Stegostoma tigrinum: one gene and its partner. The protein of the gene in region 1 binds, or shares a complex with, the protein of each later gene. Links are inferred from orthologs where the notes say so. Each region holds a gene or a part of one and is shown in the gene's direction. Other genes may lie near its edges.

Region 1 (7,878 bases):
ATTCATATCACCACAGAGTAACCTGTCTCTGTGCTGACTGTGGAATCTTCATGTCCGTAAACTGCCTATTTGCATTCACAATAACAGCTCCTGTTTAAACATTGTTAAAAGGAGACTAAAAGTTGAAGGTTTTTGTTTTGTTCTTATCAAGAGTGCAAAAAAACTTTTAAAAATGGACATCAATTTATACAGAATGAGAGAAGCATGCTGATTGGCTGGACCCCACCGGCATCAGTCTTAATTCTCAGAGCAGACAGGAAAATTCTGATTCGGCAGTATCTCCATGGGAATGCAGCTAAGATTGGCATTCCTCATGGCCATATCTCTTCTCCATGAAAAAGGTGCAATGTACATATAAATTCCTGTTGACTACATGACACAGGATCCTGAGTATTTCTGTACATAGCTGTGAATACGCGCTCTGCGGGCCCCACTGATGATTTTGGTTTCCAGTTTTACTCTCAGTGCAGACTGACTTATTTAATAAATGATTCGCAACAACAGAATCACATCTAATGGTGGATATACTTTCCTGACCCTAGCAAGCATGGGCTGGTTGAGTGTGAATGGCCTGCTTCCAGTTGAGAATGGTCAGTGGGAATTGTTGTTAATGTGGTTTGTCAGTCAATAGATTTTACGATCTATAGACCTGCCAACCACCACACACCAGGTCTTGTTATCACATGGCCTGCAATTGTTAGCCACCAATAGTTGATATCAGCAGCCATTCATTCTCCTAGGTTGGCCATCATCCCTCCTTTGTCTGTCCAACTGTTCTTCTATCTCTTTGGGATCTAGCTGCACATATTGCTTGCTCCTTACCCCCTCCCATCACCCTATCTTCTGCATTACAGCCATCTCTATTTCCAGCAACAAAAACAGAAGTTGCTGAGGAAGGGTCACTGGACCTGAAATGTTAACTCTGATTTCTCTCCACAGACACAGCCAGACCTGCTGAGCTTTCCAGCAATTTTTGTTTCCGTTTCTGATTTCCAGCGTCCACAGTTCTTTCTGTTTTTTAAAACTCTGGTCAGTTTGAACAGACCAGTCAGAAAGACTGGGGTGCAAACACTAACCAGCTCCAACGATCACAGTCATTCTGGAACAGCTAGAGAGCAGGAGGGAGATCGTGGTAGTAGTAATGGTGTAATCATGGTTGTAATGATGGCTGTGTCAGAGTTGGAGAACTGGGCAACACCAGTAAGAAAATATCAATTCTGCGAATTGTTCTATGGGTTCAGTTGAACAGTTTGGTAAAGTTAGGGAAAAAACAATGAAAAGCAGGAAGGGACTCTCATAATTGCAGCATGCTGGCTGTCAAAAAGCAAGTGCTAAACTTGGTCTTGCGCTAGCGAGTTTTGAGAAGATTTGTAGCTCAGGTTGAGGTTCTGGATGTGAGTTTTCTCGCTGAGCTGGAAGGTTAGTTTTCAGACGTTTCGTCACCATTCCAGGTAACATCATCAGTGAGCCTCCGACGAAGCGCTGGTGTTATGTCCTGCTTTCTATTTACCTGACATCACCAACCCAAGGAAACCTAAACAGATAAATAGAAAGCGGGACATAACACCAGCGCTTCGTCGGAGGCTCACTGATGATGTTACCTAGAATGGTGACGAAACGTCTGAAAACTAACCTTCCAGCTCAGCGAGCAAACTTGGTCTAGCGCTGTTAAGAAATCAACACTGGCTTTGTGGTTTTGGTTGGTGTGGTGAAAGGATGATCATAAAAATCACATTAATGACAAATCATGACTCCGTTTACAACAGTGGTTCAGTGATGAGCACTGCTGCCCCACAGCAGCAGGAACCTGGGTTCAATTCCAACTTTGGGTGACTGTCTGTGTGGAGTTTGTACATTCTCCCCGTGTTGTGTGGGCTTCCTCCCACTGTGCAAAGAAGTGCAGGTTAGGTGGATTAGCCATGGGAAATTGCCCATAGTGTGTCAGCCAAATGAATAAGCCATGGTAAATGCAGGGTTGGGGTAGGGGAGTGATGCTCTTTGAAGAGTCGGCATGGACTTGTTGGGCTGAGTAGCCTGTTTCCACACTGTAGGGACTCTATGATCATTCACTAATTAAATTTTTACTTGAAATAAAGATGGCTAAAGCGAAAACCAAGCGATTCTCCTGCTGGCAGTTCACATGATTTTAGGAATGCAATACAGTACAGCATTTCAAAATAATTTTCTTACCTTGTAATTAAGAAATAAAAACTTCATCTCTACAAAGAGCTGAATGACAACGTTTCTAGACTTAACCTTTTCTATTCCCTCCGTGCCCTTCTTCAGAAAAGGGTTTGTTCCACCCCAAAGCAGTGCCACAAGGAGGAGGCAGCAAACTTCCACTGAAACAAAGACATTGACGAAGACTCTAAGGAAATCACACTGATTGATATTTCAGTTCCATCGGTGACATTTCAAGAAAAACTTTACAATATGAGGCCAAGCCAATATTCACCACAACACGGTGAATAAATTGACAAAAATTGACATTTTCCTAGCTATCATCAGTTTTGAGGAAGGGTCACTCAACCCAAAATGTTAAGTCTGATTTCTCTCTTACATACAACTTTCCTGCAGATATCAGCAAATAGTTTTAAGGACTGTAATTTCTCCCCCTCAGTGATCAAAAAACGCACTCAACTGCACCTCTTGCATTTCCCACGGGTCAGCCCTCACACTCCCTATCCGCAGTAACAACAAAGACAGTATTCCCCTCGTCCTCACGTACCACCCCATCACCCGATCCAAAGCATCATCCTCCGACATTTCCGCCATCTGGAATCTGACCCCACCACCAAAGACATTTTTCCATCCCCACTCTTACCTGCTTTCTGGAGGGACCACTCTCTCCTGGACTCCTTTATCCGCTCCACACTCCGCTCCAGCCCCACCATCCCAGGCACTTTTCCCTGCAACCGCAGGAAGTGCTACACCTGCACCTATACCTCCTCCCTCACCTCCATCCCAGGCCCAAAAACACCTTCCACATTAAACAGGTGTTCATCTGCACCTGTGCCAATGTGGTCTTTTGTATTCGCTGTTCTTGATGTGGCTTCCTCTACATCGGGGAGACCAAGCAGAGGATCAGAGACCGCTTTGTGGAGCACCTACACTTGGTTCGTGAAAAGCGACACAAGAGCACCTCCCAGTTGCAAACCACTTCAACTCCCCCTCGCACTCCCTGGACGACATATCCATCCTGGGCTACCTTCAGGGTTACACTGATGCCGGCCGGAAGCAGGAGGAACAGCACCTTGCATTCTGCCTGCGAACCCTACAACCCATTGGTCTCAATGTGGACTTTACTAGCCTCAAAATCTCCCTGCTCCCAACTGAATCCTAAGACCAGCACCTCCTCAAACCCTCCTCCTTGATCTGTCTGTCTTCTCTCCCACCTGCCCGCCCCCTCCATCCTCATTAACCAACCCCTACCCCAACTCCTTACATACACTCACCTTCACTGGCTCCATCCCTGCCTCCTTGAGCTGTCCATGTTCACTCCACCTATCTGCTGGTCTATCATCATCTCACCCTCTTTCTGTTTATTTCTGAAGGAGGGTCTAGGCCCGAAAGGTCAGCTTTCCTGCTGCTCTGATGCTGCCTGGACTGCTGTGATCATCCAGCCCGACACCTTGTTATCTTATTTGAGAAATGCACAATTGTTTTTCAATAAAGACGGCTGTGTTTGTGTATTTCCTAATCCCAAAGACATTTGATGAACTTGTGGGGACTGAGATGGTTTGAATTTTGAGCGTTTGCTCGTAAGGAGGAAAAAAAGGGAGCGCTCAGTCCTGATATCTACCCAACAAGATCAGAGAGGAGCAACTGACCAGAGGGAGGGAGTGAGTATGGGTGACCGCAGGGAAGGAGGGGGGAGAGAGAGTGACTGCGGGGAAGGAGGCGGGGGAGCGAGTGACCTCGGGGAGGGAGGGGGGGGGAGAGAGAGTGACCGCGGGGAAGGAGGGGAGAGAGAGAGTGACCACGGGGAAGGAGGGGAGAGAGAGAGAGTGACCGCGGGGGAGGAGGGGAGAGAGAGAGTGACCGCGGGGAAGGAGGGGGGAGAGAGAGTGACCGCGGGGAAGGAGGGGGGAGAGAGAGTGACCGCGGGGAAGGAGGGGGGGGGGAGAGAGAGTGACCGCGGGGAAGGAGGGGAGAGAGAGAGAGAGTGACCGCGGGGAAGGAGGGGGGGAAGAGAGTGACCGCGGGGAAGGAGGGGGGGGGAGAGAGTGACCGCGGGGAAGGAGGGGGGGGAGAGAGTGACCGCGGGGAAGGAGGGGGGAGAGAGAGAGTGACCGCGGGGAAGGAGGGGGGAGAGAGAGTGACCGCGGGGAAGGAGGGGGGAGAGAGAGTGACCGCGGGGAAGGAGGGGAGGGAGAGAGTGACCGCTGGGGAGGAGGGGGGGGAAGAGAGTGACCGCGGGGAAGGAGGGGAGGGAGAGAGTGACCGCGGGGAAGGAGGGGAGAGAGAGAGTGACCGCGGGGAAGGAGGGGAGAGAGAGAGTGACCGCGGGGGAGGAGGGGAGGGAGAGAGTGACCGCGGGGGAGGAGGGGGGAGAGAGAGTGACCGCGGGGGAGGGGGGGAGAGAGAGTGACCGCGGGGGAGGGGGGGAGAGAGTGAGTGACCGCGGGGGAGGGGCGGAGAGAGAGAGTGACCGCGGGGGAGGGAGAGAGTGACCGCGGGGGAGGGGGGGGGAGAGAGAGAGAGAGAGAGTGACCGCGGGGGAGGGGGGGGGGAGAGAGAGAGAGTGACCGCGGGGAAGGAGGGGGGGGGGGGGGGAGAGAGTGACCGCGGGGGAGGAGGGGGGGGGGGGGGAGAGAGTGACCGCGGGGGAGGGGAGGCGTGTCCCGGGGTCTGGCGGGAGGCGGGTGTTTTGAAGATCACTCACCGACGGTCGCCATAGCAGCGGGTTACTTGATCCCTGACCCCGCCCAGGGTCATTTCCGGCGGCGCCAGACACATCATTTCCGGGTTCTCTACAGGCTCCGCTGTCAGCATGGTGAGTGTTGGAGAGTAATAATGTGGGTATTAGAGGGACTGAGGGGGCACGGCGAGTGTTAAAGAGTAATAATGGGGGGGTAATAGAGGGACTGAGGGGGCACGGCGAGTGTTAGAGAGCAATAGAGGGACTGAGGGGGCACGGCGAGTGTTAAAGAGTAATAATGGGGGGTAATAGAGGGACTGAGGGGGCACGGCGAGTGTTAGAGAGCAATAGCGGGGGGTAATAGAGGGACTGAGGGAGCACGGTGAGTGTTGGAGAGTAATAATGTGGGTATTAGAGGGACTGAGGGGGCACGGCGAGTGTTAAAGAGCAATAGTGGGGGGTAATAGAGGGACTGAGGGGGCACGGTGAGTGTTAGAGAGCAATAGTGGGGGGTAATAGAGGGACTGAGGGGGCACGGCGAGTGTTAGAGAGCAATAGTGGGGGGTAATAGAGGGACTGAGGGGGCACGGCGAGTGTTAGAGAGTAATAATGCGGGCATTAGAGGGACTGAGGGGGCACGGCGAGTGTTGGAGAGTAGTAGTGTGGGTATTAGAGGGACTGAGGGGGCACGGCGAGTGTTGGAGAGTAATAATGCGGGCATTAGAGGGACTGAGGGGGCACGGCGAGTGTTGGAGAGTAGTAGTGTGGGTATTAGAGGGACTGAGGGGGCACGGCGAGTGTTGGAGAGTAATAATGCGGGCATTAGAGGGACTGAGGGGGCACGGCGAGTGTTGGAGAGTAGTAGTGTGGGTATTAGAGGGACTGAGGGGGCACGGCGAGTGTTGGAGAGTAGTAGTGTGGTACTCTGGAGATTTAGAGGTTACAGTGAGTATCGTTAATTTGATTTGTTGTAGTCCCGTACCTATGTACAGTGAGAAGTTTTCTTTAAGCAATACAGGCAGATCATAGCAAACACACAGATCATAAGGTGTTGAGTTTGAGCGAGACATACAAGGTTATGGCTGCAGAGAAGGTGCATAAAAGCAACATTAACATAAGGTTTGAAGTTAGAGAGGACCATTCAGTAGCCTGATAACAGAGGGGAAGAAACTGTTCTAGAACCTGTTGGGGCTTGTTTACAAGCTTCTGTATTTTCTGCCTGACACAGACGAGTTTGGAAAAGAGAATTGCAAGGGTGGGTGGAGGATCGGGATCTTTGATGTTGGCTGCCTTTCTCCAGCATGCGTAGATGGAGTCCATGGATGGGAGGTTGGCCTGTGTAATGGTCTGGACTGTGCACACAACTTTCTGTCGTTTCTTATGGTCCTGGGCAGAGCAGTTGCTGTACCAAGCCATGATGCACCCAGATGGAATTCCTTTTTAATGTGCATCTGCAAAAGTTGGTGAGGGTCCTTATTGACATGCCAAATTTCCTAAGTCTCGTGAAGAACTCGAGGCATTGTTTTGCTTTCTTGACTGTCGCAACTGTGTGGGAAGACCAGGACAGCTTGTTGGTTATTGCATTGCTTATTAAAGAGTAATGATGGACATAATATAGAGAGGTAATTGTATGTATTGAAAAGTAAGAATGCTAATACTATTTAGATCAGGATGACTGTTGCAGGGAGCAAGAGAAATATATTTCTATGGTACAAAACTGAGTTGTGGCCCTTAAACCTTGAGATTTACAGACTTTTAGTATTTTATCAATATGTTGAAATTGAGTAATTAATGGAGCTTAATAAAAACCAAAAGAGCTGCTGCAGTTGCTGTAAATCAGGAACAAAAACAAAGTTGCTGGAAAAGCTCAACAGGTCTGGCAGTATCTGTGGAGAGTTAACGTTTCAGGTCCGGTGACCGTTGCTCAGAACTGGAATTAATGGAGCTTGTTTCATTGCTGTAATACATCATGTTTTAATTTTTTTTTGCAGAAGCCCATCCTGTTACAAGGTCATGAAAGATCAATCACCCAAATTAAGTACAATAGAGAAGGTGATTTGCTGTTCTCTTGTGCAAAAGATACTGTAAGTATAACTTACAAATGATGGAATGTTGTGATAACTTATTCCATTAGTTTGCTATCTTGGCTGCAATATTCACATTGTGCATGTGTGTAATTACAACAGAAAGACTTGGGAGCAGAAGTAGGTCACTCGGTCTGTGAAGTCTCCTCTGCCTTTTCTGGCTGATGTGATCATTCTCAACTCCACTTTTCTGCCTTTTGCCTCCACAATCTTTGATTCCCTTGCTGACTAAAATCTGTTTATCCCAGCCTTGATGGCCCCTACAGTAAAGAATTTCACAAATTTGCTAACTTCTGAGAGCGTGTTGGCTCAGCAATTAACACTGATACCTCACAGGGCCAGGCATCTGGGTTCAGTTCCACCCTCGGGCGACTGTCTGTGTGGAGTTTGCACATTCTCCTCGTGTCTGCGTGGGTTTCCTCCGGGTGCTCCGGTTTCATCCCACAGTCCAAAGATGTGCAGGTTAGGTGGATTAGCCATGCTAAATTGTCCTTAGTGCCCAGGGATGTGCAGGCTTGGTGGGTTAGCCATGGGAAATGCAAGGTTACAGGGATATGGTGGGGTGTGTCTTGGTGGGATGCTGTTGAAAAATAAAAATAGCGTCATTTTCTACCAGTGTGAAGCAAAGTAAGTTCCTTTCATTGTGCCTCTGCTCATCTCTTGGGTAACCATAGCTCTGGTAGTGCAGGTTTTGAATTAGCAATGTATAAAAAAAATTTGTCTTTCTATTTTGAGGTCATTTCCTTGAGCCCTTTCTGCTATGGAAAGTGAAATAAGGTGAAATATTTGTGTAGTCAAAATGTTGAAATCCTTACTAACTGTCCACTTTTGATTATTCTAAAAGACAATGGTGTCTGTACACTGGGCCTCTGACTCGGCCCAAACCTATGCTAAACAAAATGGATAAATCCCATATCCCTTCCTGAGTAGATA
Region 2 (7,076 bases), on another chromosome or scaffold:
CACCCTGTTAGGACAGCAGGATGTAATTGTACATACAATCCCAATTCCTATCTGTGGACTCTTACCGACCAACCCCACGCTCAGCATCGGAGGCGTCTCTGCCATAGTCTGTCCAACGCGTCAGCAGCTCCGTTTCTATAAATGAATGGGGAAACACTCCCTCCGAATATATCTTCAACAGGAATTGAACAATAAATCACTACAGATTGAAATGAAACTGTTGCTGTACTTTGCTAACTGTAGCTATCACTGAGCTGCTATACTAATACAATGTCTATACAATGTAACTAGCAACACAAACACTGTTCATCTCAGTTAATTTTACAAAATGCGGGTTCTGTCACTAATTTGCCGCTACTAAACTTAATGTAAACTTAGTACAACTGTTACTCTTTCGCTTTCTTTTATTTCGGAAGGGTTTTTTTAGATCAAAAATGCAAACAGCATTTCCTCCCTCTTATCTTTCAGGACCTCCGGCTTCACATTAAAACCCGTCCGACTGTCACTGAGGGGATTGTGTCAGGACTTCACACAGAGGGTGGTGCGTTTATGAATGAGCTATCAGACGAAGTGGTAGAGGCTGGTACAATTACTACATTTAAAAGGCACCTGGATGGGTATATGATAAGAAGGATTTAGAGGGACGTGGGCCAAATACTGGCAAATGGAACTAGATTAATTTAGGATATCTGGTCAGCATGGACGAGTTGATCTGAAGGATGTGTTTCCGTCCTACACAATTCTATGACTCTATGCCTGAGGTCACTGGACAGAGACGTGCAAAGAATAATGTAGAACACACTCTCAAGGACCTAAACCTTTACGACAAAAGGATATTTTGAACTTTGTTTTCTGTTTGAGTAATCTTACACTGAATACTCCGAATCAAAATGAAGCCCATCATTGGCGTAAATAAGACAATTACAAAAATTTATTCTCAGGTGGTAGGCATCATCGGTCAGGCCAACATTTATTCCCCATCCCTAATTGCCCAGAGGGTAGTTGAATGTCAAACACGTTGCTGTGAGTCTGGAGTAATGGGTCGGCCAGGCGAGGTGCTCCTATGATGCCTCTTGGCCGGCTGTGTTCACCCAGTTCTACACCTTATTATCTCAGGTAGGGATGGTAGTTTCCTTCCCTTAAAAAACATTAGTGACCAGATGGTAACACAGTGTGGAGTTGGAGGAACACAGCAGGCCAGGTAGCATCAGAGGAGCAGGAAAGTTAATGTTCAGGTCTGGACTCTTCTCTAGAAATTTCTGAAGAAGGGTCCCGACCTGAAATGTCAACTTTCCTGCTCCTCTATGCTACCTGGCCTGCTGTGTTCCTGCAGCTACACGCTGTGTTATATCTGACTCCAGCATCTGTAGTTCTTACTATCTCTGAGTGAACTAGATGTTTTTTTTCCAACAATTGACAATAGTTTCAGAGTTACTATTAGACTCCTAATTGCAGATATTTATTGAATTCAAATTTCATCATCTGCCTTGACAGGATTCAAACCCAGACTGCCAGAGTATGACCAGGGTCACTGGATTAATAGTGGACCTATAATACCACTAGGCCATCATGTCCCCACTAACAAAAAGTACACTGCAGTTCCATTAGCACCCAAAAAAGGGTCCCATTGCAACAACTGTTTCTAGCATATTCTGACAAGTGCATCCCACATTAATTCCCAATGTCAAAATGAGCTGTTTAAAATATTGTTTAAGATATCAGAGAAATAACATGAAACATCTTTGTATACTGGCTCCTAAAAAAAGGGAAGCTGAGAACTCTTCAGAATTTAATTGTCTTCTCGTACCCGCTACATATTAAAATATGTTGTTGTTATTTAATAATACAAAGTATAAATGAAATGACCAGCAGTTTATGTATAGGCGCTTGGTCAGATACCATTTTGTTTACATAATCTAGCTCAGCGGTCTCCAAACCTTTAAGGTTAATATCACTATTTAAGTGCAACCAGGATCTACCTTGAAGAATAAAATCAAACAAACATTTTATTTTTAGGGATATGTAAATCTAAAGCCAAGTATAAATAATTATTGATTTGTAATTTATTCATCAAGTCTCATGTGACATCTATGACTGCCAGTGCTTTGAAATCAGGTTTGTAATCTATCACTAATCTATTGTCAGGATTTGTTTCTAGGGTTTATGATAAGCTTGCATTGATTGGATATTGGATGTGGGACATAGCAGCATTTCCCATATTTTTGTGGCCATGCCCCACATTTTTCTTTGTCCTGCATGGTTGTGTTGGATAAGCTGGACTAAGCTCTGACACCCCCTTATGCACCTGCTCTCTCTCAAGGAGAATTAAATTGATAATATCCATTTATAAAATCATTGAAATCAGCACATTCTTTTAAAAAATGTAACAGACTGACATTCCAAACAGCAAGACTTACTGCATGATACTCTTACAAAATATCAATACAATCAATTTAAATTGAAGTTGTAGATTGTAATTATTTAAGGAAAATAAACTTGTTCATCTGTAGAATACCAGAGTATTATACTACTGAAAATAAATATTTTCCAAACTTGTCTGCATTCAAAAGAAAAACATCAAAATGTACATTATGTTGACATTCATTGTTTATCACTAATTGCTATGAAAAACAGTGGTGTGGCTTTTCTTGAAATACTAAAGTCTATACATTTATTTGTAATAGTAGTTGAATATATCTGAGTGCCTTATTGGACTACTTCGCTTGGTTAAGAATCAAACATTCCAGTGTGAGACCACAGTCATCATTATGTCAAACTAAGTAAGCATAGTCCACCACATTCCCCCACTCACCCACTTTAAACAACATTACTTACTGCCAAACCATCTATTCACTTTTACTGGTGCCAGCCTTTTATTTCCAGTTTTTAATAAAGTGATCTCAAATCGCCATATAGCATTGCAGCTTTTGAAGTCAGTTCTTTGGATTATTGGTCTAGTAATATAATCACATTTATAATCCTACAACATGGAATCTCAGTAAGCATTATTATTTGCTTATAATGAAAGCATGTAATGTTTTTGTGAAGTTAGTAATCCTTGGCTATCAGGCTAAATTTTAAAATGATAATTCCAATAATTGACATGTTCTTTTTATTTTTAATCCCATGTTTATCAATAATTGAAATACACTTTGGTTTAAACAATGGTAAATAGATCAGTTGTTTTAACAAACAAAGTGCATATAATGGCAACTGCGATTTGGATGGGGTTATGCTCTTGCTTCAGACTCAAGGGCTGTTCCCCCATTTCAGATCATAATAAACTAAAGTGTGTAGCCAGCTGGATCGCCACCCTTGCTTTGTTCAGATGAGAAGTTAAAGTGAGACTCTCTATATTTTCACAGGAAAATATACAAAATCCCACAGTATTATTTCAAGAATAGACTTCTACCCTGTCTCTGTATTTATTCCTTAATCTGTACATCATATTTAAAGAAAAGTCAGGTCATTGTCTGGTTGCTCTTGATGGCAGTTTGTTGAACATATATACCTACATGACAACAAAGACTGAACTTCAGAAGTATTTCATTGACCATAAAGGTAGTGAGAAATAGGAACAAGAGTTGGTCGTCAGGTCCTTCGCGCCTGCTCCAGCATTGAAAATGATTATGGCTGGTCCCACATTGCACACTCTTACTTCCCTGCCTTTCTCCGTAATCCTGGATTCTCCAACTGATCATGAATCTGTCTACCTCCGCCTTAAAAGATACACAAGCAATTTGCTCTCAAGAGCTCTTTGAGGCAAGGAACTCTAAAGATTCACAACCCTCTCAGAGGTGAAATTCCTCCTCATTTCAGACTTAAACTGGCGCCCCGAGGGTTCTGCGAACTGAGATCGTGAAAGGTGGAACAGAAAATGATGTTTTTTCCGCCTGCTCTCCTAACTGTTTTATTTAATTCTCCACAATCCACAGAATGCTCATACCTGGAACTTACTAAACTTGAAAGACTTGAGTGGGTCGCAGCGCGCATGCGCCGGACGGCTTGCTGTTGGAGTGCGCCTGTGCAAGGTCCCGACGGGCGCCGGGCGGGTCACGTGGGGGACGTATACGTCACGTGACGCCGGCCTCCATTTTGAAACCGTCTGTTCAGTGCCGCGCAGCTCCGCTGGTGGTAGTTCAGGCTGTTGAGGGAGTGCGGAGTCTGAAACTATGCCGGCGTATTTTCAGAGACCCGAGAACGCCCTGAAAAGAGCCAATGGTAAGTGGCCGGGGTTAGCGAGGGGAGAGATTTGGCCTGGGCCATGCGGCTGAGGTGGCGCTGACCTGGAGGAGGGTGAGGCTGCGGCTGCGGCCTTGTACCAGGCCTGTGGCTCATGCACATGTTGCTCGACCTGTCATTAACTTAATGGCGATTCCTTTTTATATAAAATAGAACATTGATTTCGCTTGTCACTTGCTTTATTTTTTTTCGTTAAAAATATCTGGATTTATGCATCGTCCTGGAAGGGAAATTTTCCTGATCTTAAGTTGAAATTTAAGTTGTATTTTTGAGCCTAGATGCTTGCATCAGTAAACTAGTTGTTAGACGTCTTTACCTTTTTTGCACATCTGATACTATCTAATGTTTAATTTTGTTTTGAGGTTGAAAGCCATACTGATGATTCATGAATATTGAGTTTTCCCTATTCATCATTGGTCCTCCGACCAAATAAAATGTATTCTTTCAGTTTAGTGATTGTGTTTATTTTGTTTATTTGCTGATTGGGTCTCAGATTAATACCATCTTTTGGGTATACTGAATACTGTTATCTTAAAGGATGTCCCTTTTTTTTCTGAGATAATGGGAACTGCAGATGCTGGAGAATCCAAGACAACAAAATGTGAGGCTGGATGAACACAGCAGGCCAAGCAGCATCTCATGATGCTGCTTGGCCTGCTGTGTTCATCCAGCCTCACATTTTGTTCCCTTTTTTTTCTTATTAAGGCAACAGTTTGATTTATCTAATCTGCTTAAAATGTTTTCCACTTTGGTCTTATCTAACTTTATTTTGCAAGGATATATTTTGTTAGTGATAAGGTGGTACTTTATGTAATGAACTGGGAGTTGGAAGTGATATCTGGGGTGTGTAGTGCCTTTTGATTTGGAAATATATTCTAAGCAGATCTTTCCAAGAAAATTGGGAAATTTTAAGGATTATGTTGCATTATAATAAATGCAACAAAGGTTCCTAGGTCTGTAGGAAGTGTGTGAAACCAGTAAAGGAATGGGAAGATTTGCATGATGTGACAGGAAAAGCAAGAAAGTACTAAAAATAATAAAAGTTAGTGGGGCTCATGGGGGATGGCAGGGTGATATCAGAAAATAACACTTGTTAGTTTAGCATCAGTTTAAGTGAAGTTCCTGGATCCTAATGTATCTATGTGAATGAACTTGTATAGTCTAATCAATACAGATCAACATAGATTTGAAAAGTGTTACTCATGAGGGCTGAGAATGAAAAATCAAAATTGTGGTGGTTGGTAGACATTATGGAGATGCGAAGTCCTCACTTTAGATCTTGAGATAAATCTAGATATTCACTTGCCTATGGCAAAATGAGATTTGGCATCAGTATACACAAACAATCCTAGAGCTAACGGTATCTTAGTGCTTGTTTACCAACAGGAGGAAATCCTTTCGGTTGGCTCAGTGACACAGCCCTGTTTTGGCCCAAATTTTAATTGCACTGGGTCTGGGGTTCCGTTAGTGAGAATCAATTCTTGCGTGACAAAGTAGAGCAGGCAGAGGATAGTGGCCAGATTTGAGGCCAGCCAAATTTGAGAGGACTCTATCAGCTTTCGTATTTGGCAATCAAGAGGCCTTTGTGAGGCTGATTAAAAGCCATGTTGGTGCTGTTGCTTTTCTTTAAAGAAAGTCCTGTTTAATCGATCGCAGTGTTTTTTGTACTTGTATGCACTTCAGAGATTTGGATGAGTTAAAGCTGACACTTGAAAACACTGGAGACGTAGCATCATTGGTACCTTCAAAATCTTTCAATTCCTGTGGCAAAACAACCTAATAGCAAAACTGTCTCAAGTAAGTTGTCCAGGGTTGAGACACCACACTCAAACTAGCTTTTCTGGGAGGGACATGTTGTTTGGTTGATACCAGCGATCTAATCCTTTTTCTCAACTTTGGAACTCTGAAGAGAAGTGTGGAAATGTGGTGATTAGCTTGGAATTAAACAAATTGCCTGAATCATAGAAGACCTGAGCTTGATGCTGACCAAATGGAGAAAGTTTATTCAGGAAGACGCCAAACACATTGTGAACATGCGGAAGCAAAGCCAAAGACATTTCGAAGGAGGAAACGCATGTCTGGAAAAACATTCAAGCAGCACTTGCCCTAAGTGACAGACTGCACATTGGTCTTACCCATATTTTCAGAACCAATATACAATCAAACTGGAACAAAAGCAAGTCCTTCTGTCCTCAGGTACTCTTTCAGATGAATAAGTTTGTCAAAAGTTTTAGTGCTCAGTAGCCTACCAGTGTACATTAAAATTTTGGAAGAAAATCAGTGTTTTTCATAATCAAAGTATATTTGATTTGTGCTGAATGCTTCGTTTCAGAATTCCTGCTAACGAATGAAATAGACCATGTGTTAGTCTCAGATACACACATTGTTTAACTTGCAGTCCTTTTGACTGTTGTTTTTCATGTACTGAATGGATCTGCATGATTTTTAACTCATTTGGATTTTGCTTCCCCTCTTTCTCACCTAACCAACCCAATTCAGAAGTTGACTGTCACCATAGATGAAAAAAAGGAAGGACAGGGTGCTAAGAAAGCTATGACATGTAGCAGGAGAAGGAATAAGCCCAGGAAAGTTGCTACATCTACAAAGTGCAACCAGTTCACTGGCTCTGGCATCTCCAAGGCCACAAGTGTAATTAACTTATTCATCAACAGTATTTTGGAATGCATCGTGGGGGAGTTTTCCCACCTGACCTGTTACGAATGTGGCACCATGAACTCTGGGAGATCCAGACCGCTGTGAGTCTGCTGCTGCTAAGAGAGCTGACCAAGAATTGTCAGAAGATACAAAGAAGGTGACCAAAAACACCAGCTTGA

The links. Proteins that work in one complex are often made in the same cells at the same time.
Region 2: eif3i (region 1) and eif3s10 share a complex: the UniProt entries of both Homo sapiens proteins name them as parts of the eukaryotic translation initiation factor 3 (eIF-3) complex. The link is inferred for Stegostoma tigrinum from reciprocal best matches to the Homo sapiens genes EIF3I and EIF3A.

Annotation. Positions count from the first base shown.
Region 1 is NC_081377.1:45,623,229-45,631,106, forward strand, and holds the start of eif3i (eukaryotic translation initiation factor 3 subunit I), read left to right. Parts: upstream 1-4,875; 5' UTR 4,876-4,885; coding exon of another isoform or gene 4,886-4,898; 5' UTR 4,899-4,993; coding exon 4,994-4,996; intron 4,997-6,852; coding exon 6,853-6,945; intron 6,946-7,878. Other genes in the region: tmem234 (transmembrane protein 234), read right to left, coding at 2,191-2,342, 4,886-4,898. UniProt on the Homo sapiens protein: Component of the eukaryotic translation initiation factor 3 (eIF-3) complex, which is required for several steps in the initiation of protein synthesis.
Region 2 is NC_081373.1:17,491,763-17,498,838, forward strand, and holds the start of eif3s10 (eukaryotic translation initiation factor 3 subunit A), read left to right. Parts: upstream 1-4,071; 5' UTR 4,072-4,172; coding exon 4,173-4,221; intron 4,222-7,076. Other genes in the region: dennd10 (DENN domain-containing protein 10), read right to left, coding at 66-105. UniProt on the Homo sapiens protein: RNA-binding component of the eukaryotic translation initiation factor 3 (eIF-3) complex, which is required for several steps in the initiation of protein synthesis.